Lytechinus pictus: one gene and its partner. The protein of the gene in region 1 purifies or fractionates together with the protein of each later gene. This does not show direct contact. Links are inferred from orthologs where the notes say so. Each region holds a gene or a part of one and is shown on either strand. Other genes may lie near its edges.

Region 1 (11,360 bases):
AACAGTGGAAATCAATCCTGGACATCAACAAATTACATAGCCCAAACAGGTACACATGTGAATGGTTTATTTGCATAGGAAAGCAGAGCATAAACCATTATCGGACAGTAAAGGTATTCTTAAGCCTAGTACTCACAGTTATACTCATTTTCTCTGAGCTGTTCTGTCTGCTCATGTAACCCTCTTGCCCTTCGCATCCCTCAACACACAGAAAGCAGTCTGTGGTGTGGCCGATACCAGAGGGTAGCACCTTATCCCTTAACATTGCATTAATTACTGTACTCTTGCCGTTACTCGTTCTGTTAAAAAAAAAAAAAAAATTCATTGACCTGATTATAAAGTTCATAATTATTGCAAATAACATAGAGAGTACATGTATTAATGAGAATGTGCAGTCAAATTTAATATTATTATGTACATTGCAATTTCATGATGAACATAAAAAAAGTTTTTTTTTTTCCATAAGTCTCATCACAGGTGGACCCTGGAGCATTCATGGATGAGTGTCTATTTACAATTAATTGTAATTTTTTTTGTATTTTTTTTCCAGACTTATACCTGTTAATTGTAATAGATTGCATTTTTCTAAATTATATACAGGGCAAAGGTTATCCATGCAAACACTGTCATATTTCCTGCTGATGTGAATTACATTGTCTTTGGTAATATAATTTTAATTTGCAAGTATCCACAAAAGGTACTACATACAGGTAAATCTATGATTTAAGCAGTGGTCAATGTAATGATTATTACATTTAGTCAATGTAATGATGTCTATGAACATATGTTAGATTTATCAGTATTTTAGTACTTGGAAAATAATGCTTGAAAATGATTATAAACAAGGTAAAAAAAAAATCCAAAAACAAAAGATAAAATTCAGCATAGTCATTAAATTCTATAGGTAACCCTAAAAATTATGGGGTGGGGAGATCTGATTCAGCCACATCCTTGTGACATTTTTCAAGATGAATTATTAATGTGAGGTCTCACCACAACATTTCTGAGCAGGGACTTTTTCTTCTATCTTGAGTCCTGCACATTGTTTTAAGACCAAAATTGGGGGTTTCAAAGTTAAGAATGATTTTGTACAATCTCATATTGAATCAGCCCCCTCTCCCAGCTATTTAGTTTTTTAACAAATTACAACCATGGCTTTAATAATAAGAACTTTAAAATGTCAGTTTTCATATCAAGACCACTGAAATGTACATGTATATCATTACAATGTTCATTGTTAATATAATAGCCTTTATTTTCATTACAATGCATTTGTATTATTTGCCCCATCCCCACAACTATTTAATCTCACCTGCCGAAGAATGCTACTTTCATATGATCTCTCTCCAGGACATCTTGGATTCCTCTAACCTGGTTACTGAATGCTTCTACTTTACTCAGTTGTTCATCAGATACTACCTGCGAAGCTGAAGATATCCCTGAAAATCAAACAAAGAAAATTAAGATGCAGTCTCATAAACTATGATAAACCCTGATAATAGCAATGTGCCATTCTCCTTTCCCAAACAAACCCTACTTCTGTGAACTTTGACCCCACAATAATGGTTGTAAAGTCAATGTACCATCTCAAAGCTTTAACTTGAGACTAGCACTATATCTGACCCCATTTACCTTTCAAATTCTCCTCCAAATCACCACTATGAGTAAGCAAATGGTCGTATAAATGCAAACTTTTTCATCATCATCATCATCATCATCACCATCATCATCATCATCATCATCATCATCATCACCACCATCTCATCTAATATAGGAGTGAACTGTTGATCTTCTGATCATTGACTAAGTCATGGATTACCGTACTGTCAGTTCACAAAGTTATACATGATGCAAACAATGGATGTCAGGGTACATCAAAATATCTGCCAAGCCAGAAATTATAATTCTATAAAACCAGTCTCAAATTTGACTAGATTGCATGCAGATAGGAAGGATTACAACAAAGAAAAGAAAATCAAAGACATCGTAACAGCTTACACAGCTGAAAAAACTGGTATCATTGTTTGGTACGCTATGGCAGTGTCTTCCTTAATATAAATACGGATGAAACCCTGGAAACAAGTTAGCTTGTGTGACGATAGGAAAATAAAAGGGTAAATTGCCAATTTGACTGCTGCCGACTCGTCCACTCACCACATGGTCTACTTTCATTTAGTCCACTGCCATTCCATCCATCAACAATTCGTCTAACAACCATTTGGTCCAATCATTACTTTGTCTAATCACCATTTCCTCTCATAACCAGTTGGTCTAATATCCATTTCATTTTCATTCATTTTTGCACAATCAACACTTAATTCAATTAGACCAAATGATATATAGATTAAATGGCTATTGGACCAACTGGTTATTAGACAAAATGGTGAGTGGACGAAATTGGCAATAAACCATGTGTGGATAGTAGATGAACTGATGGTAGACCAAATGATAGTATACGAGTTGGAAATTTTGACGAATTGGAATCAGACGAATTGGAAATAAACCAATATAAGTACCAAATCAATGAAAATTTGAGAAAAATTGAAAAAGAAAATAAGTTATGATCATTTGAGTGTTGAGATAAGCAACCGAGATGTCATTATACAACTCCCTAATAATTGTTATACCTGTACATATTTACTTTGTCACTTTCATTGAGTCTATCCATAGGTATAGATTAGGTGTTTTATTTCTTAATTATTTTTTCATGGGAGGACATGTAATAATGGTTCCATAAATGGACAAGAATTCCACTCATAAGAATGAAAGAAAAAAAAAAAAAAGATGTATTGGGGATTACTTTCAGTGCACTACACAAAGGGGAGAGTTGGACATCTGTGACATCACAAATCTAGTCGCACTGCCAATGGGACAAATTCCATAGTTGACCTTCAAATGCTCACAACTTTCTTATTATTTGTCCAATTATTCTAAAACTTCCATCACTTTTTTTCTGTTTTCATACAAGTTGACTTGTTCCAAGAGTTTCAAATTCATTTCCATGAATATTAAAATGGTAAATTTGGGGTTAATTATGAGACCTAATTCCCAAGATTTTACTTTTCTTCTTTCCAAAATCTACCCCCCCCCCACCACATAATAGAATTTGAACTCTTACCATCCAGGAAACTGTGGCTGTCCATGATGTGACCCGATACCTCCTTGTAGATTTCATTAATCTTTCTTTTGGCATCAACAAACAGTCTGAGTGGGGTACTGGTACGACCGTCTTCTGGTCTAGCCATTGCGCTGGGCCTGCGCCCATATCCGTTGTCCATGGTACACAAAATATGTAGGCTGAAAGACCTGTGCAACATGTACATATAAGAGATATTAAAGTATTACAACTTTCTCCCAGCAATGCCCAAGAATTGTCGTTTGTTGACAGCACTAAGTATGACCAGCACCAGGGGTTGTCCAAGAAAACAAAGATCCAATAAACCAAGACAAATCATGTCTTGATAAATGGAGATTATCCTTGTTTATGAGGACAGTTTTTTTAATTTCAATCTTAGGTAATTTCCTGCTGCCATTCGACATGGCAAACTTATTTCACAAGCCAGCACAGTCAATCACCACAACACACACCAATTTTTTGTATTTCTCCTCGTACACAGACAGCTCGCGATCGTGCAGCTGCCATTAGGGGATTAACAATGCAATATCCCCCGACATTGATTTTCGTCTTTATTTCATTAATAAAGAACTGACCAAAATATAGAGTATTATTCCCTTTTGGCCTGAAATGCACCATGATGGGAAAAAATAAACTTAGATTCTAAAAAGTAAAAGGAAAAAAAAAACCAGTGAATAACTATCATACTATTCTAGTCTGGACTTAGCTAGACTCAAGTTCGGCTGTCGCGCAACTCCCACTTCCCTGACCCTGGTTTATTCGAACATACATTTGATTTGGCCATCGAGTCCCTGTAGTCTGTACACATCGAGTTTAAAGAACTTTAGTCACTGCAATATTGGCGAGTGGCAGGAGTGGAGCCAACGGAGTTTAGCGGAATGACCACACTTTAAACAGTAGAGGCGCACGGCCAATATTGGAGACTGTCTCCAATGTGGGAGATTATCTCCAATATCAAAGACTTTTGTAAAGAATTTGGGTATCCAATTTCAGAGACAGTCTCCAGTTTTGGAGTCCAATTTTCATTTGTTTACATTTGCTGCAAAAGGATTAACTTGGCGGCAAATAAAAATGTGATAAGCAGATTCCTCATGAAAAATTACCCCTTTTCACCGTCTACTTTTGTTTTGATAAGGATTTTTGTTGTCAATCACACACAAAACAAATGGGCTTCTGACCTCAGGCTCAGTGAGACAAAATTTTGGGTGGAAAAAATCATGCTTTTGTTGGTGTTGTTTCTTTTATCCTTTTGCAAAGCAAGTCTCCAATGTGGGAGATTGTCTCCCCTATTGGAGAGAGTTTCCCAGTCCCATATTGCCTATTGGCCGTGCGCCTCTATTCTCTAACAAAAAAGTTACTGTTAAACACTAGTTACACTTACAGATAAAATGTTGTAAATCGGATCAAAATTCAGATCGAAAAACGGATCGGCAGTTAAGCTTCTAAAATCAAAATCGAATCGAAAATCGAATTGGCGATGTTTAAAAACAAAGGAAAACAGAGACCAAGCTTTTGTCTAGTAACTTAGATACAGTAAACTTAACATGTGGGACCAGAGACAAGTTTTTAATAATAATAAAAAAAAAATTATAATCAGAGGTGAGTGGTCACAAATAAAAAGATCTGATAAAAGCTGAAGGGTGTTGAAAAAGTCTGAAATAGAAAGAGCTCCCATACTTCTTGTACAGAGGAAAGCCAAAAATAAGCTGAAAAATGAAAATCAAAACAAAAAAATCAGATATCAGTTAAAAATCTGCCAAGGCCAAGGCCAAGCCAGTCTCCCACCCCTGCCCCTGCCCTGGTCTGGACAAGAATAGATTTTCAGACTGGATAGACATAACCCGGGACATAACAAAGAGATCAGATAGACATGATAGAATAGATCCATCTTGACCTTGCAGCTTGACTTTACGGCATTATCGTGGTTTATGTCACCTGTCCATTCACTGCCGTTTATTTCGTCAGCGGTGGTGACATCTTTCCACTCCCATTGGCATTGACTTTGTAAATTGTAGTGAGCGTACACGCGAGAAGGGAGGTGACAAATTTCACGATAAGGCCGACTTTACTTGGGAGAAATCTCTCAGTGGTTCTAGCAATAAATATCAGTAATGTATGTAAAGACATATTTTTTGTCTTGCCTCACCTTATGTAAGCTTGATTTTCCCCCTTGCTGTTGCTTCAGCATACGGTATGAAATCAATGCATGCGCTGCGCTGCATGCATGTTGTGTGGATCATATCCACTGAACTAGAGATACGTGGAATACGTGTCCCCATTCCCAACGTACACAAAGCCGTGCGGCAACGAAGAGCATCGGGCTTCACGCTCGACTGAGCGCGCCGCCATTTTGCTAGGTCAATACTGGCTGGTCGACAAATGCTGCGTGTAGGCAGATGGGAGAAAGGAACGCAAAGAAAGTGTTCCTTGTGCTGTTCAAAGTTTTAGTTTGCTTTGTTACATCATGAACTATATGTTACTGACTACTTTCATAACTGAAAATGTTGATTTAGTCAGATTTTTGTATTAAAGTGGAGTAAACATAGCCTAATATATGAAATCATAAAAAATCTACCTTTTTCACGCGCACACTGTGACAAAGAAAGGCCCCACAACAAATTTGCTTTCTGAGTAGGCCTACTATTTGTCTGAACAATAAAGGCCTTCTAGCTGGTTGCATTAAAAAAAAAATCTTTTAACGATTAGAAATCATGTCCCTTTTCTCTAGCTTTTTTTTTTACACCTCACTTCTCATTCAACTATTCATCTCATCTCATTTTCTCTGATTTTCCTCTTCAGCATATTTAGTGTCCATCTCTCTTATCCTCCCTTTTCTCCATCCCTTCTATTTCTTCCATTTCTACTTTCATGCATGCCCCTCTCTCTCTTATTTATCCCCTTTATATCATCTCGATCTCCCTCTTTATTATTTTTCCTTTCTCTTTGGCTTCTTTCTCTCTGATTTTCCTCTTCTTTCTCATCTCTCTCTCTTACCTTCCCTTTCTATCTATCCCCCTTATATCTCTCTTTTATTTCCCCATCTCCCTTATATCAAGCCCTCTTATCTCCCTCTCGTCTCGCCTTTCTCTCCTCACCTCTTTCTCATTCCTCGTCATTTCCCCTTTCTCTCCCTCTCTCTTTGATCTTCCTCTTCTTTCCATCTCTTCTCGTTGATCGTCTGTTTCTTTTTTTCTTTCCGGCTCCATCTTTACCATTTTGCCTTTCTCATTTCAACTTTCTCTATATAAATTTTGAGTTCAGGGTGAAAAATTGAATAGAAGTTTGAGGACAAGAAGGTTGTTACTTTTAATGAGCCTCCAAAGTTGGACCTTCGTGCGCTCAGCCATGAATTATCTAGGGGTGATGGATAAACAAATTCAACTCTAACAAGTTTACTAATTAGAGCACAAATCAGAAAAGCATAGAAATGGTAATTCCATTTAAAAAGTTGTGGCACTAAATTTCGCTTATTTTCACATACCAGTTATATGCATATCCTGGTCAGTATGAAATATTCCACATGTCAAAAATTGCACAAAAAGACCACTATCTCTTGTCAAATATTTCCCGGGATCGTCCCGTATTTTGCTCCTTTGTCCCGGCGTCCCGACAAACCCTTCCCGGGACACCTATCTGTCCCGTATTTTTAGAATACTGAACAAAATGTAGTTGATACATAATTTAAAAGTGACGAATTTTCATCAAATAACCTAACAGATGACGAAGCAGAGACAACAATCGATAACTAAACTTTTGCAAAGTTTTGCGGGTGATTTTTATCCTATATAACCCAATACATTGCAAACGAGCTGGCTTCCTGCCTGTATGTGTGTGGCAGGCTCTATGCATGTAGGATCGGAGCAGATTCTCAATGGTGCAAACAATCTCACATGATAAACAGTTTTTCCACCAAAATAATCACAAAATCGGCGGGAAATTTTTATCATCATAATTATAGATTCTCATATTACTGATTTAATACACTCTTAAAAATGTTGGGCAACATACGGTCCACACAACAATTGGTTAAAACTTTATCCAATTCTGGGTAGTTTTACACCAATACTGTGTAGTTTTCACCCAAAGCACACATTATTGGTGTAAAACTACCCAGAATTGGATAAAGTTTTAACCAATTGTTGTGTGGACCGTATGTTGCCCAACATTTTTAAGAGTGTAGGAGGAACAAGTTTTTTTAGTTTTCATTACTGGATCTACATGTAGTTGTTTTAGCTTTCGTTTTGAGTCTTGTTGTGTAGGATGCCGGCGCTGTTTCCTCTAATTTGTAAGTTGACAATGTTTCACTTTGAAATTTTATTCATTTCTAAACCACTTTTTCAAAATTTTAAAGATATATATCTAAAAAACACCAAATATCATTATCATTTCTGTTAGATGATTGGATTGCTTTTGTTTGCTTGAAGTTTGAACTTTTTCCTCGTTCATTTTTATTCTTCATCCTTCTATCCTTCCTGCTTGCTTTTTTTGTTCCATCTATCTTTTAATATTTCCTACCTTTCTTTCCTGATCCTGTCTGTGTGTTAGTTTTCTTTCTTTCCTTCTTTCTCTTATCTGCCCTTTTTATTTACTTCCTTCTCCCTTCCTCGATCACCTTTAATTTCTTTTCGTTTTTTCTCTCCTTCCATTATTTTTTTTTCATTCTCTCCTCCCTCCAATCTTTCCTCCCTCTCTTTCATTCATTCTTTCATTCTTTATTTCATTTTTCCTTCTATTCAGTTTCCCCTTATTCTTTCTTTCCCTCCCTCCCTTCCTTCCTTCCTTCCTTCCCCCTTCCTGTTTTCTTCTTTCTTCGTTTCTTTCTTTCAAAGAATGAACACATTTTTCTTTCCTTCATTCTTTGTTTCCTCCTCCTTTTTCTTACTTTTTCTTTCTCACCTTTATTTTGTCTGTCACACATCTTCCCTTTCTTTCTTTTTCTTTTTTTCTATATTCGATGAATTCAAAGAATGACGGAAACATTTTTTCTCTTTTATTCTTTCTTTCATCGTCCTTTTAATTATTCTAACTTTCTTTCATTTTTCCCCTTCATTGTTTTCTTTCTTCTTTCTCATTTCATTTCTTTTCTTTCTCTCCTTCATTCTTTCGTTCACCCTCCCTTCCAATTCTTTATATTCTTTTCACAAGTATAACTGTGTAGCCTTCTTTGATAATCTTTCTTATCGATTGTCCCGTATTTCATTTTGTGAAATCTGGTCACCCTGATTTAAACCCTTTTTTTAACTACATGAATTACCAGGTCCCAGTACATTGTGCATATAGAAATATGGTTGTACATGATTGGCTTAATGACATTAAAATACACTTTGCCACACTAAGTACATCAGTATTAATTCTATATTTATAGAGAAAACATATTGCATCTTGCACATACTTTCAATTGCCTTCTACGGCGCGTTCTCGAACAATTGACCTAGCAAAATGGCGGCGGTCACGTGACTTATCAAGTTCGCCGGCGATGTTTTGCTTGGGTGAACACGACTTCCACGTATTTTTAGTTCAGTGATCATATCATGTAAAATTCATTACAAAATTTGGTTGCGCTGGTTCAAATAAGAGCTTCATACTTTAGTACCGTAGTAGTGTAGTAGCAGCGAACAACCAGCTGCCGCACGTGCGCCATCAGCGCGAAAGAGGCGCGCCAGATTTAAACGTACCGGTAAATAGCCCAGCCAGCCAAAGGAGCCCAGCCGGTTCTGCCGGCGCCGCTAGCTAGCCCTAGCCGGCCGCGCCGCCGCCGCTAGCTAGCCCTAGCCGGCCGCGCCGCCGCCGCTAGCTAGCCCTAGCCGGCCGCGCCGCCGACACATCGCGAGGTCGAGGCGTAATAACTCGCTGTGTATTTGTAGTGGCTATACTGTACTAGGCTGCAGCTAGTGCTACTGACACTTCGCTGACTACTCGTAATCGAGTGAGGTCTACTGTAACTAGTTACAGTCTGTAACTGTAAGTAGAGCGAGATCTAAGTAAAGTTAGACCAACTTGATCAAACTTCAGGTCAACTCAGTGATGAAATGCAAGATGGGCGAGGAGGACAATGTAAATGATTTGGCCTATACGCAGGCAAGTATTTACTTTACTGCCTTTAGTAATTATTTTAGAGTACTTTTGTTTTTGTTTTAGTACAATTAATGGCTCAGTTTGAAGACGATATTTGTAATTTTGTTGAAGATAATCACTGTAGGGCCTAGTAATTAAGTATAAATGGTAACATGCATAATGCTGTCCCTGATTGTAACTATTGCACAGAAAAACAGTTTTTTGAATTAGTTTGTAATCTGGTAATACCAGAATGAGCACTGACCTAACTCTCCTTCATAATGAATATTCGCAGCTTGTGGGCTTGTCCCTATTGCCTATTGGCCACTGGCGTAAATCCCGGGGGGGGGGGGATGGGGGGATATATCCCCCCCACTTTTCGAGGAGGGGGGGATGGCCTGTACAAACATCCCCCCACTTTTTACGAAAGAAATGAAAAAAAATCACAAGAGATAATTGTTTTATTGGTGAAAATTCTTCCTGAAATACCGCTTAACAAATAAAACAATTTTATTGCATCATAAATGATAAAATGCAAATAAAGAGCCAGTTCACCATTTCCAAACGAAATACTTATGACGGTTATGTCCTTATTATAACATTGAAGAGAAACCCCCGTTTCTTCCAATTCATCAATGTTGGGGTCTTTGAGAAGGGATCAAGATCGAATGTCAAAATATATGAAACATTTCCTGTCCGTGATTACGTTCGCATTAGTGGATTGGTGAGATATGTCTGCTCTTCATGAATTCCTAAAATCAGTCCTTAAAATGTCCCTTCTGATCTGAATATAAAATATTTTCAGCTCGCGCTTCGCGCTCGCATCATTTGGTTATTGAAATACGTATGGTCCTAGTTAATTCCTACAAAGAAACCTTAGAATGTCCACTTCAGGTCTGAACTATATAAATTTTCAGCTCGCGCTTCGCGCTCGCAATATTTGATTAGTGAGATGCGTATGATAATCATGATTGCAATGACTACAAAAAGTGTTTCATTTGTTCAGATCTAATTCTGATAAAAACAGCAAGCGCTTGGCACTCGCATTAGATGACTATGGTGAGATATGCATGCTCTTAATGGATTCCTAAAATATATTCCTTAAAATCTCGCTGTTTGGGGTAAAAATATACGAAAACTTCAGCTCGCGCTTCATGCTCGCATTGTTTAGCGAGACAGGTACCTATCATGATTACACAAATTTGATTACAATGTCCCTTTTTAGGTGTGAATATAAAAAAATTTCAGCTCGCGCTTCGCGCTCGCATTATTTGATCAGTGAGATACATATCCCTTTAATGACATTGTCCATGTCTCTATTAGGTCAGAATAACTGGCAACTGAGCGCACTCACTCAGTGATTCAAAATTTTGCTGGTGCCCCCCCCCCCAATGCCGTGACCCACGGTACGCCACTGTGTGGACATATCAATGACAATTCCTTGCATATCTAAAAACATGATTGCAAAAAAAATGCCAAAATATTTCAGTCATCCCCCCCACCCATCAACACGGATTTACGCCAGTGCTATTGGCGTCTCTGAGCATGCTGAGACTTGGTTATCTAATTCTAGTGAAAATGATATGAATCTCTTTTCTGTTCCAGGTTATGATATAATTTGTAATAATAGGAAAAATAAAAGAGGTGGTGGTGTTACAATATATGTCCCTTCTCAGTTAGATTATCAGGTTTGTCATGATCTTAATTTAATGACCATGATGACCGATCATTTGGAAGCTGTATTTATAAAAATTTTGCTTCCTGGTAAAAGAAATGTTGTTCTTGGAGAAATCTACAGACCTCCCCATGGTAATTTCACAAGTTTTATAGATGACATGCAAAATATATTGGAAAAAGCTTTGCTTTCTCATAAATCATTATTTTTGATGCCATGGGGATTTTAACATAAATCTATTACACTGCAATGATAATGTTCACGTTGATGACTTCTTGAATCTGTTAATGTCTTTTTCATAGTTACCCTTAATCACAAAGCCTACCAGAGTGACTGATACATCTTCCACACTTATTGATAATATTTTTAGTAATTCGCAACCAGTTCTGTCTTCTGGAGTACAATTTCTGACTTATCTGACCACTTTCCTGTTTTTACTAAACTAGCTTTAGGACAATATAAGGATCCAAATATTTACAACACCCATACTCGCCA
Region 2 (12,038 bases), on another chromosome or scaffold:
TAAAGGGTCCATGTCCATTTCCTTATTTTTCATCGCAAACCACAGAACTTTGTATTCGCGCTGTCGCTGTATGGTCTGATTACTTCCGGGTATATATAAAAAAGTAGATGTTTCGTGCATTATATTCACGATCGCGATGTGTCCAAAACGAATCCCCGTCCAAAACATCAGATACCGGTACTGTATACACACGTGCCGTGATTCATTGTTTACCCACAACAAAATAATGTTTTACGACTCAGTAATTATTGTATTGATAAATTATTGCAGTCAAATTTGTTATAAGGGGCGGATCCAGAATTTTACTAGGGGGCATTTTGGCTCAGAAAGAAATGACAAGCATAAAAAAGATGATGAGATTAATAACAATAATGTGAGCATTTGTAATGCGCCAGTATCGGGGCCACTACCGGGGCCAGTATCCATCATAAATAGACGCTCATGGCGCGATATAGAAAAGAAAAGATAAAGAAAAGGAAACCTGCTAAAAAGATTGAGGTCTTCGCTTGCTTGGGTGTGCGGCCCTATATAAATCATTTACCACTGGGGGTGCACTGGTCGGTGTGCCCCCCCCCCCCCCCTGAGTCCGCCAAGTTATATGATTTTTTTTTTCAAAGTAATCAATTTACGATTATATTGCAAAAATTATGTTCTAATGAGGAGAAGGGGGTGCTCCGCGACTGACTGCATGGGCCGCATGCATGCATGATCGGGAAGCTTAAAGGTCAAGTTCACCCCCAGAAAAATTTTGATTTGAATAAATATAGAAAAATCAAACTAGCATAACGCTGAAAATTTCATCAAAATCGGATGAAAAATGAGAAAGTTATGACATTTAAAAGTTTTGCTTATTTTTCCACAAAACAGTGATATATGAAGAAACAGTCGATGATGTCCCTCACTCACTTTTTTTTTTTTTTTTTTTTTTTTTTAATTATACAATATTTCATTTTTTCAGATTTGACAATAAGGACTATAACTTGACTGAACCATATAGTATTAAACATTGCTAATTCCACATGTTCAGGGAGAAATTAATCATAGTTTCAATTGACAATGAGGAGAAAATTAATATTTCACATGTCATCTAAAAAAATACAAAAGAAATAGTGAGTGAATGACATCATCAGTCTCCTCATTTGCATACCGACCAGGATGTGCATAATAACTGTTTTGTGAAATTAAGCCGAACTTTAAAATGTCCTTACTTTCTTATTTTACATCTGATTTTGATGAAATTTTCAGTGTTATATGCTTGTTGGATTTTTCTCTTTTTATTCAAATAAACTTTTTATTGGGGGGGGACTGGGAAGTATTTGTTGGAATCCTCAAATAATTCAGGTGTGGGTCTGGGATTTTTCTGAAGAGGTGCATCAGTGTTCTAAAAATTTGACAGCCCCCCCCCAAAAAAAAAACAGGGTCATAATACTTGTTAAAGGCCTATGCTGGAATTTTCCAAAATAGGCCCTGGGTGTATATGCTGATTATTTTACTTTTTTCTAATTTCTTTTTTCTGTTACACAGAATCATGAAAACTCAATTAAAAAAATCATCACTGCCAACTTAATGCATTTGGCTACATCTCTCCAGTTTTTTACTCTCTTTCTCTCTCTCTCTCTCTCTCTCTATCCCTTTGTTATTGTTGTATGCTCAAAGGGGGGCTCTCACTTTCCACCCCCCCCCCTGGATCCGGTTTCTGTACTATTGGAGAGCTTAATTGGTGGACCTTCATTGTTACTTTCGATTTTAGACTACCTTCATTGCCAACATTCTCAGACACAGCTCTTCTTCCGTTCTTCGAATTTTCCTCATCTTCTTCTTCCTCGTATCCTTTTTATTCTTCACTCTTCTTCTTTTTCTTCATCATCTTCTTCCTCCTCCTCTTCTTCTTCTTCTTCTCCTTCTTCTTCTCCTTCTCCTTCTTCCTCTTCTTTTTCTTCTTTATTTTCTTCTTTGCCTGCATGGGACTGGCATCTACACGAAATTATTTTACTTATGTTTTCTTTATGTTATGAATTATATGTTTTTAGATAGGCAGATCCCTGTGGAAGACCAGCGATTTTTGTTAATGAAGGTCTTAATAATTGTATATATTGTGTAATTTTGCATATTAAGTTGTACAACGCTGAACAGGCACTTCTGGTTAAAGATTTGAAATAAATAAATGAATAAATAAATTATTTTCGTTTTAGTCATCATATTTTATGAAGTTCACCGTCCCTATATATTTCCAATTTCCAACCTTTATGTTATACAGTACCCAGATTTTGCCCAACAAATAAACATTGCAAACCATATAGTAATATATGATTAAATTAGTTATTATGTATCAGTGGATTTTTCCTTGATATGCATTCCAATAACATATCATAATCATGATAATTATAAAACGTATATTAGCTGAAAATAATCCATGGAACCATTTTTGAAATACCTCTACAATTTCAGAATACTTTAACTCTGCATTGGAATTATACTGCAAAGAATGACGAATATGACCTCGAGTTTGAATAAACGGTAGATCAGTTAGAGATGTTTCTTCTCATATACAAAGCATTGGCCCGCATTGGCGCAACATATTGTTGGTGAGTTTAAAAACAAGCACATGAACCCCTATTACTTGATGTTTACACCTCGTAAGTATACTTTCCTCTCCAACTTTGCAAATTTTGGTAAAAATGACATATGCGTTTTGGAAAAAGTGTAGCATTTATTGTACTTCGCAAATTTGTTACAGAAATTTCAAATTTGTGAGATAGCTATTGTGAATTGAAGGTGCTGCTAGCATTAAAAGGGCAATCAAATAACAATGTGAATAGATTATCCATCTTAAGTATACAATTTGAATTATACTGTGATGAAATTTACAGGGATTTTGATTGAATTATTTAAACTCAACGTGAAGTCTGAAAATGTCCAAACCCTGTGAATACAAACTTCAAATTGGGTGAGCTGATAGCAAAAAGACAAGCACATGAACCCATTTTATTATTATGGTTTTTTTTTTGCATATTTGGAATAATTAGGTGCTGAAGCTTAAAATGATTTCATTTTAACTGTGGAACGTCCTTAAGGACTATTTTTAGAAAAGGAATTCATGATGAAGAGCATATACATATCGATATCTCGCCATCGTCATTTAATTTGAAGAAAGAAAAAAAAATTGAGCGTCAAGCGCTCACTGCTGATTTTTTAGATTCACACCTAAACACATATGAAGAACTTTTGTAGTCATCTGTTGCGTATCCAGCATCAGATCCTATTATGAAAGCATCATGGGCCCAATAATGAGGGACAATAGTGACTGTATCATGCTTTTGCACGGGCCCATACATTTTCTTTGTCGTAGTTGATGCTGGATACGCTGGTGGTTGTAATCATGAAGATGATACGTAGGCCTATTTCACTAATCAAATATTGCGAGCGCGAAGCGCGTGCGCGTGCTGATACCCGAACTTCATGGTATTTTAAGACTTGTTTGTAGGAATTCATTATACGTATTGCACTAACCAAAATAATGAGAGGAAATATATTTGGTGAATATTTACTTGAAAACGAGACCCGCCCCCCCCCCCCCCTATTGGCGGAGCAAAAAAAAAGAAAAAAAAGGGGGAAAGAAAGAAAATAAAAGAGGAGAAAAAGAAGGGGAAACATAAAAGGAGGAAGACGAGTGAATAAAAAAAGATGAGGGGAAGACTTGGAAGAAAATTTCAAAAATTTTCATGTCACTATAAACAATTATCGCTTTTTGGTGATTAACATATCTTGCTCAATATGGAGCTTAAAATATCAAATTTTGAAGTCAATTTACAAAACACGTTTCAGCTCGGAAATCATTATTTTGATTGATTGACATTTATTTTTTAAAAGTGCTCTGCAAAAATTTGTGTTTTATGGTCTGAATATTAACATTTTATGCTCGCGCTGCGCGCTCGCAGAATTTGTTTTGTCAGATACCTTTTATTTCCCGGTATTCCATAAAGTTCTCGAAATTATCCCTAATCAGTTATATGCATATCTCAGTATTCATTCTATAACAAACTACTTAAAGGGATGGTCCAGGCTGGAAATATTTATATGTCAATAAATAGAGTAAAATTCACAGAGAAAAATGCAGAAAAAGTTATTGAATTTTAAAGATTTGCATTATTCCTGTGAAACAGTTCTAAGCATGTCTTCATGAATATTCATTAGGTGGGCTGATGATGTCATATACCCACTTGTTCTTTTGTGTTTTATTTTATGAAATCAGGTTTATTCAAAAAAAAATCTACCAAGAACTTAAACAGTTGGATCGACAACTGATTAAGTGCATCAGTTTTTATTGCCGCAATTTATTTCATCATAATGGAGACACATCATTTTCACATGTGTGACAATATGAAACATTTGTGATTTCATGTAATAACATAAGAAAAAGGAAAATGGGGATATAACATCATCAGCCCAACTTATGTATAATCATGACGATGTGCATAGAACTGTTTTCACAAAATATTGATAAAATTTAAAATTCAATAATTTCCATATTTGTCAGTGTTTGTTATCCGATTTTGATGAAATTTCAGCATTTTGCTTTATGAATTTCACTCCATTTATTTAGATATAAATATTTTCAGCCCTGACAATCCCTTTAAAATCCCCATTCATGACAGTTTATCTAAAATTTCGGCTCACGATTTGCGCTCGCATTGATTGTTGAAAATATATTAATTCATGCATCTTATTCATAAAGTGCTTTAAATGTCCAATTTTCAGGCCATAATATTAACAGATTTCACGCTCTCACGAGGCTTATTAGATTAATAAATAAGATATTAATTTACAAATCAAATTGTCTTTTTTCAGAAAGGAATTTCAACAAGTTTCATCTAGCGCTTAGGAAGAGAAATAGGAAGATAGTCATCATTTTCATATGACGACATAATGTTCGTAGAATGCCCCGGGTCCTATGTCAAAACTCAAAGTAAAAATAATGAAACATATCCATGATATCAGCTCTTTTTTAACTGTGATCCATATCCACCTCACAATTTTCCTATATACAAAGTGCTTGAAATACAGAGCTGAAATTGACAATTTTTCAGATCGGAATATCAAATATTTTAAGCCATCGCTTCGCGCTCGCTTTTCATCCATTCAATGATCTTACCACATCAAAATAAATTTATAACTGTTTAATCCAAAGTCAAATTGACAATTGTTGTGAAGTATGGGGTTTACGATTTATCACACAAACGAATAAAAATAATAACACTTCAGAAACTTGCTGCCAGAATATAATACTCAAACAGAGCTCACGTCCTCAGCCCGTCTGATCAATAAAAAAAAACTAGAATGGTTCTCCTATCACCAAAGAGTAATGTATTTCCGATGTATATTAATATTTTAGAGTCTAAATAATTTATCTTCCGATGTCTTTAATGATAACTTTAAACAAGATCTGCCTCCAACCTACAACTCGATGTCCCAAAATGCAATACTGATACTATAAATACTCATTCATTATCTCCTCAATATATCAATGTTCAATTCCTTGCCCCTTCATTTAAAAACCATATCCACCCTCTCTATTTAAAAAAAAAAACTCAAATCATATATTATGTCCGGTGTTACAAATATTTTAATGACTCCGACTTTGCATGCCTTTCTGTATTCTAATATGTATGATTTATATAATGTTTTTACTTTGTATATTTTTATCACTTGTATATAGGCCTACGTGTTTTTTGTAATGCTTTTAGGGCCCCTTTTGATACCAGCCTTTGCTGACAGGGCACCCTATGGAAATATTATTTGAAGAAATAAATAGGTAAATAAATAATTGATTTTCATGATTGAAAAGGTATTTAGAATGCCTAGATTCTAGGCCAAAATCTGAAACACGCGCGCGTATATGCATGTTCAGATACGCAGCTTGTTCTCTATTTAAATTATTATCCAGTTTCAGATCACAATATTAAAAAAAAATCTGCTGGTGCTTTGCGCTCGCATTATTGATGTAGGAAGATTTCCAATTACTCATCCTTTTCATGATGTACCAAACATGAATAGAGTAGTGTCCCATATTTAAATGTAAATCTCGAATTTTTCCGCTCGCGCTTCGCTCGCATTTATTGTATATACTTATCCTTTTCACGATTGCAAAAAGTGCTTAGAATGTCCATTCTTCAGGTAGAAATGTCAAATTTTCAGCTCGCGCTTCGCGCTCGCATTACTAGTATTTGATTGTTGAAATATGTAACGTCTTCATGGCTAACTGCAAGCAGCCGTTAAAGGTCAAGTCCACCTCAAAAAAATGTTGATTTGAATCAATAGTGAAAAATCAGAAAAGCATAATGCTGAAAATTTCATCAAAATAGGATGTAAAATAAGAAGATTTTCACAAAATAGTTATATGCACAATTTAGTCACATGCAAATGAGAGAATTGATGATGTCCCTCACTCACTACTATAGTATTTCTTTTTTTTTTTTATTGTTTGAATTATACAATATTTCAATTTTTACAGATTTGACAATAAGGACCAACTTGACTGAGCCATAAAAATTATGTTAAACAATGGTAATTCCACATGTTCAGGGCAAAATAAAACTTTGTTTCACAGGAAAATGAGGAGAAAATAAGAATATTTCATATAATAAAATAAAAAAGAAATAGTGAGTGAGAGAGTGATGTCATCAGTTCCCTCATTTGCATACTGACCAGGATGTGCATATAACTATATTTTGTAAAAAATTAAGCGAAATTGAAAATGTCATAACATTCTCATTTTCCATCCGATTTTGATGAAATTTTCAGTGTTGTGTTTGTTGGATATTTCTCTTTTTATTCAAATCAACGTTTTGTTGGGGTGGACCTGTCCTTTAACAGGTCCCTTTTTGATCAACTAATTTTTTCATCAGGGGATTTTCGAACTCGTCAGCTGTTCTACTCCAGCAGACGATTTTTTCCAGAATAGCTGAGCGCGCTTCAAAAATTTCACGTGTTCGCCGGCCACGCGCGCGCGATGTATTCGTGTGGCCTGGCCTGTATTATTAAAACGACGTTATCATTCATGGTTATAAATTATGTTTTGTCACTTTTTATGTGATTTACAATATTTCAACGTGTCATTCAAAGATGGACCAGATCCTTATATCAGTCAGGCTCATTCAGTCTCCAAGGTTGGGTAAATTTTCCGGAAATGTAGCAGAAATGAGGATGCCTGTTCACGCGACGCAAAGTGGGGCCGAGATACGAGACGAGGTTGCTCGTCTCTCGGGACAGTCCCCCGCAGATATTCGCCTGATATTCGCTGGGAAGTTGATCACTGATGTGCAAACAATGGAGGTAGGCCTAACGTTAGATTAAGTGTTTAGAACTTTAGATTCTAAGTTACTGCGCCTGAATTAATGATTGAAAGAATGAATGAAAAGACGCAGATCCGCACAACGTCAACCAACAAAAAGGGTGACCAGGTCCAGGGTGGCGTTTCATGAAAGGACTTGTGACGTCATGTCAGAAGTTTTATCCGACAAGTCCCATTTTATCCGACAGTTACTATAGGAACAGTACCTCTCAGCCAATCAAAATCAAGGAAAGATGTCAGATCTGACAACTTGTCGGACGAAAATGTTGATGAAACGCTCCCCGGATTTCACAAAAGTCAAAAAGAAATACGTTATACGGGAGTCACAATCGACAAAGCACGCTGCACGAGCGGATCGACCAAGCCAGGCCTAGGCTTAATGAAAAAGATCAACAAAGAAGGCTAAAAATTAGAATTGTAAAAAAATATAAAGAATCGGAAGGGAGGATGAACGAAAGAATGAAGGAGACAAAGAAAAGAGATGAATTGAAAAGAAAGAAAGAAAAGAATAAAAGGGAAAGTGCAAGAAAAAAAATTAAAATAAAAGAAGGATAAAAGAAAGAATAAAAGAGAGAAAAATGAATAAAGAAAGAAAGGAAGGGAAGATGAACGAATGTGTGAAAGAAAAAATAAATGAGAGAAAGGAAAAAAGTAAGATAAAAGGAGGAAGAAAGAAAGAATGATGGAAAGAAAAATGATTCAGAAAATGGAAAAAGGAAAGAAAGAAGAAAAACAAGTAAAGTAAGGAAGGAAGGGAGGGAAAGACAGAAAGAATAAGGGAAAATAATTAGAAGGAAAAATTGAAAGAAAGAAAGGATGAAAGAGGGAGGAAAGAATGAAGGGAGGAGAGAATAAAAGAAGAAAATAATGGAAGGAGAGAAAGAACGAGAATAAAAAGAAGGAAGCAAAGAAAAGTTGAAGGAAGGAAATAAAAAAGGAAATATAAAAAAGAAAGAAGGAATTAAGAAAGAAAAATGAACATAGAGGGATAGAAAGGATCAGGAAAGAAAGAAAGATAAATGGAACAAAAAAGGGCAAGCAAGAAGGATAGGATGAAGAAAGGATAGAAAAGAAAGAAAGAGGAAAAAGTTCAAATTTCAAGCAAACAAAAAAGTCCAATCATCTAACAAAAATCTTAATAGCCTACCGGTAAAGGCGGTATTTGGTGTTTTTTAATATATATTTTTTTGAATAAAAAAAACTAAAATGTTTCAGAAATGAATAAAATTTCAAAGCAAAAAAAAATTTAAAAATTAGATGAAACATCGCGGCATCACACACAGGCATCTCTTCCATCCCATATTACAAGCTTGCACCGATCACAAGAAGACTCAAAACGAAAGCTGAAACAACATAGATCTGGTTATGAAAACTCAATACATCACCAAATCAGTAATCTGAGAAAATCAATCCATAATATAATTTAAAAAATTCCTGCCGATTTTGTGATTATTTTGGTGGAAAACTGTTACCAATATCATGTGAGATTGTTTGCACCATTTAGAATCTGCTCCGATCCTACATGCCGAGCTAGTAGCCACACACAGGCAGGAGGCCAATTCGTTTGCAGTGTAAGCTTCAAGTTTCAAGTTTAATTTTATTGATTTCAAATCCAAACATAAAGGATTACAATCCTTGGGTTAGCAAGAAAATCACCGCAGAACTTGCAAAAGTTTACAGTTATCGATTTTATAGTTGTCTTTGCCTTGTCATCTGTTGGTTATTTCAAGAAAATTCTTCACTTTTAAACGTATTAACTTTATTTTGTTCAATATTCTGAAATACGGGACAAATATGCGTCCCGGGAAGGGTCTGTCGGGACGCAGAGACAAATGAGCAAAATACTGTACGATACCGGGAAATACAGGACGCCTGGTCACCCTGACGCCAATGGCTCGAAAAGGGGGCTCGGGTACTACTGGTTACCCTGTGAGTGACACAGAATCCTGACATCGAGGCACAAACTGGACCCTCAATAAAAGGAAAAGTTAGACCTCTATGTCGAGTTATTTCTCGGTATCGATCAGCCTTTTTTACTTTTGTTTTCAATTTTGAAAGGAGAACGAACGAGACAGAACTTTCCCTTTTTTGAGGGTCCAGTTTGTGCCTCGATGTCAGGATTCTGTGTCACAATAGACCTTTATCTATATAATCGAGGTAAGTGCATAATTTATTTTTCCCCTTTTTATTTGGGGTGCTATTGCGACCCCATTCTACCCCATTTTGGAGAGCACTCTGCCTAATATTACACGGACGAGTCCTGGGCTCCGACCCGCTTTTCTATACAGATCTAGAGTCTGCAGGGCTTCGCGGGCCGGAGCTCCCTGGGTTAGGGTACTGCCTGGTGCACTCAAGGGTACATGCCGCTGCACACAGAAAAATCAAGCCATACAAAATTAGAAGTCGTGTGTTGTGGACGCCAGCAGTGACATCCAGCATACACGACCCACTCACCACTGGCCTGACTGGCACTACCACTAGATCTAGTTTAACAATTAAAATCCTCTGCCAAACACGGTTCCTTGTGCGAGGTTAGTTCTAACCTCGCACAGTGGAAGGAAGCTGGAATCTAGACTAACTTAAATATTAGGGTCTTTGACTCTGGAACTGTGATGGTGGTCCCCAAGTCTGCGCACCTAACAACTTGAGTCAGATTTAATATGAATTTCTTTTTATTCAACAAAATCTTTCAGATAATAATGTTCCTAATGAGTAAGTGCACCAAATATCATAAAAATTTGAAAGAAATATAGGATTTTCTTGGAAAATCCTTGGGCAGTCATTTTCAGATTGACAAAAAAAAATGGTACCCCATGTCTGCGCCATGCTAATATTCTTTTATCCGGCTAGCCCTAGCTAGCTGCAAGCTAAACATTAGGATTGGATTGCGGGAGCATCGGCGGCTCAGTCCAGCGCCAATCAAGTTCAGCAAGCTTTACAACTTAAAATTTTGGCAGTACGATTTTGAAGAAGAATCACTTTCAGATGAGCTAATTTTCCAATACAGGCATTACTGCTCTTTGAATACCAAATTATTGATTATTTTGGAAATTTACAGAGAACCTTCCCTGTCGACTTATTTTTGGTTTGGGGTAGCTGGTCACAAAATAACTGAAATCAATAACGAACTGGATATTGATCAATTAGACCATATTTATCAATTCAACAGGTGTTGATTATTCCACACAAATAAAAAGAGCAAAATATTATTGTGTATATTTTGAGAGATTGTCTATTGTTAAGGCTCACACTTGCTCACTTCTTTTCCATACAAGAGGGTGGTGATTAATTGAGGGCATTATCGCATAGGATTTTTTATATAGATGTAGAGTCTGTAGGGACAGTGATTTTCCGTTTCAAAAAATTGCCTTTTCCGTTTCAGAAAATCTCAAATTCCGTTTCAGCATGTCAGAAAACGGAAATTCCGTTTCCCCATAGACTTTGTACACACGGAAAAGTGACAATTCCGTTTACACATTTACATGCACACTCGCACTGGTCAAAATTTGTATCTGCTACTGTACCAACAACACAATAAAATCCGTTCTAATCGGATCTATGCGGGTGAATAAAATATTTTAACACACCCATTTTGCATGCATACATCCTCACCTTTCATATTATTAGCATTATTTCACGGTGAAATGATATTTCATCGATAATTTTGGGGGTTTTTGGACATCGTTATCATCAGTCAACGTCTTTTCCCAATCCGCCATCTTGGATTTTAAGACCACGATATCGTGCTGTTACATCTTCAAACGTAGAGGGCAGCAACACACAACTGTGTACATGTAGTTGAACGATACATGTGTGCATGTGAAGCCCAACCCGGCCGGCCGGGTACGGGTACGGTGCGGGGTACAATCGAGTGTGAATTGTCATAATAGTAGCGAAGTGAGATCGTGTTTTCTGGGTTTTTTCGGCCATTTAATATTCTCATTTTGTTGTGATTTTGGAGTAATTTCTGTTGCTATTCTGTGTATTTTGAGGGAAAATACGTTTTCCGTGATTTTCCGTTTGAAATGCCATTTTCCGTTTCAAAAGGCCCTTTCCGTGAATTCCGTCCGTTTTCCGCGATCGCGGAAAATCACTGTCCCTAAGTCTGCAGGGCTGACTGTGGAGATCTGCAACTTTGGCGCTATCAGATGAGACTTAACTAGTTACCTGCATAGATCTATACAAATGTATATCATGGAAAATTGAGACATGAAATTGGCATGTAGAATGTTAGAATAACATTCCCAGTCCTTCTTTTTCCTGTAGGATCTGAGGATTTGTGAAAACACTGTGATCCATGCTGTACCTTCTCAGAGGATTCAACATACCAAGACCATTCATGACATTGACGTGGAACAACCACCGGTGTGTGGTCTCTTAGAATCAAGAATTGTGGACAAAGGTCTGTTTATGCTAAAAAAAAAATTTAGGTTATAAAATGATGCATTGTTTTAATAAACAATGATTGCCTTGAAGTTTCATGTCAGTCAAATAGTTGAAGGAAGCTAATTTGAATTTTATTTTTACAAGGTTTTGAGGTATAATTTCTTCCTTTTTTGCAAAGTGGTGGTACATTATATTCTAAAAAATGAAGGTCGTGAAAATGTATCATTTTTTTAAAGATTATTGTTAAATTCGTTTGGGATTAAAGACAAAATGAGTTCAATAGGGATGTTCTTTACATTTA

What was found.
Region 2: the proteins of mitofusin-2-like (region 1) and E3 ubiquitin-protein ligase parkin-like purify together in Drosophila melanogaster (affinity purification with western blotting; 3 studies listed by BioGRID). This does not show direct contact. The link is inferred for Lytechinus pictus from reciprocal best matches to the Drosophila melanogaster genes Marf and park.

The regions. Positions count from the first base shown.
Region 1 is NC_087246.1:5,733,305-5,744,664, reverse strand, and holds the start of mitofusin-2-like, read right to left. Parts: upstream 5,389-11,360; 5' UTR 5,283-5,388; intron 3,307-5,282; 5' UTR 3,279-3,306; coding exon 3,119-3,278; intron 1,440-3,118; coding exon 1,313-1,439; intron 300-1,312; coding exon 137-299; intron 1-136. UniProt on the Drosophila melanogaster protein: Mitochondrial outer membrane GTPase that mediates mitochondrial clustering and fusion.
Region 2 is NC_087248.1:10,159,607-10,171,644, forward strand, and holds the start of E3 ubiquitin-protein ligase parkin-like, read left to right. Parts: upstream 1-6,930; 5' UTR 6,931-7,122; coding exon 7,123-7,332; intron 7,333-11,617; coding exon 11,618-11,753; intron 11,754-12,038. UniProt on the Drosophila melanogaster protein: E3 ubiquitin-protein ligase which accepts ubiquitin from E2 ubiquitin-conjugating enzymes in the form of a thioester and then directly transfers the ubiquitin to targeted substrates, such as Paris, Marf, Opa1, Miro, pnut, Septin1, Tom20 and porin.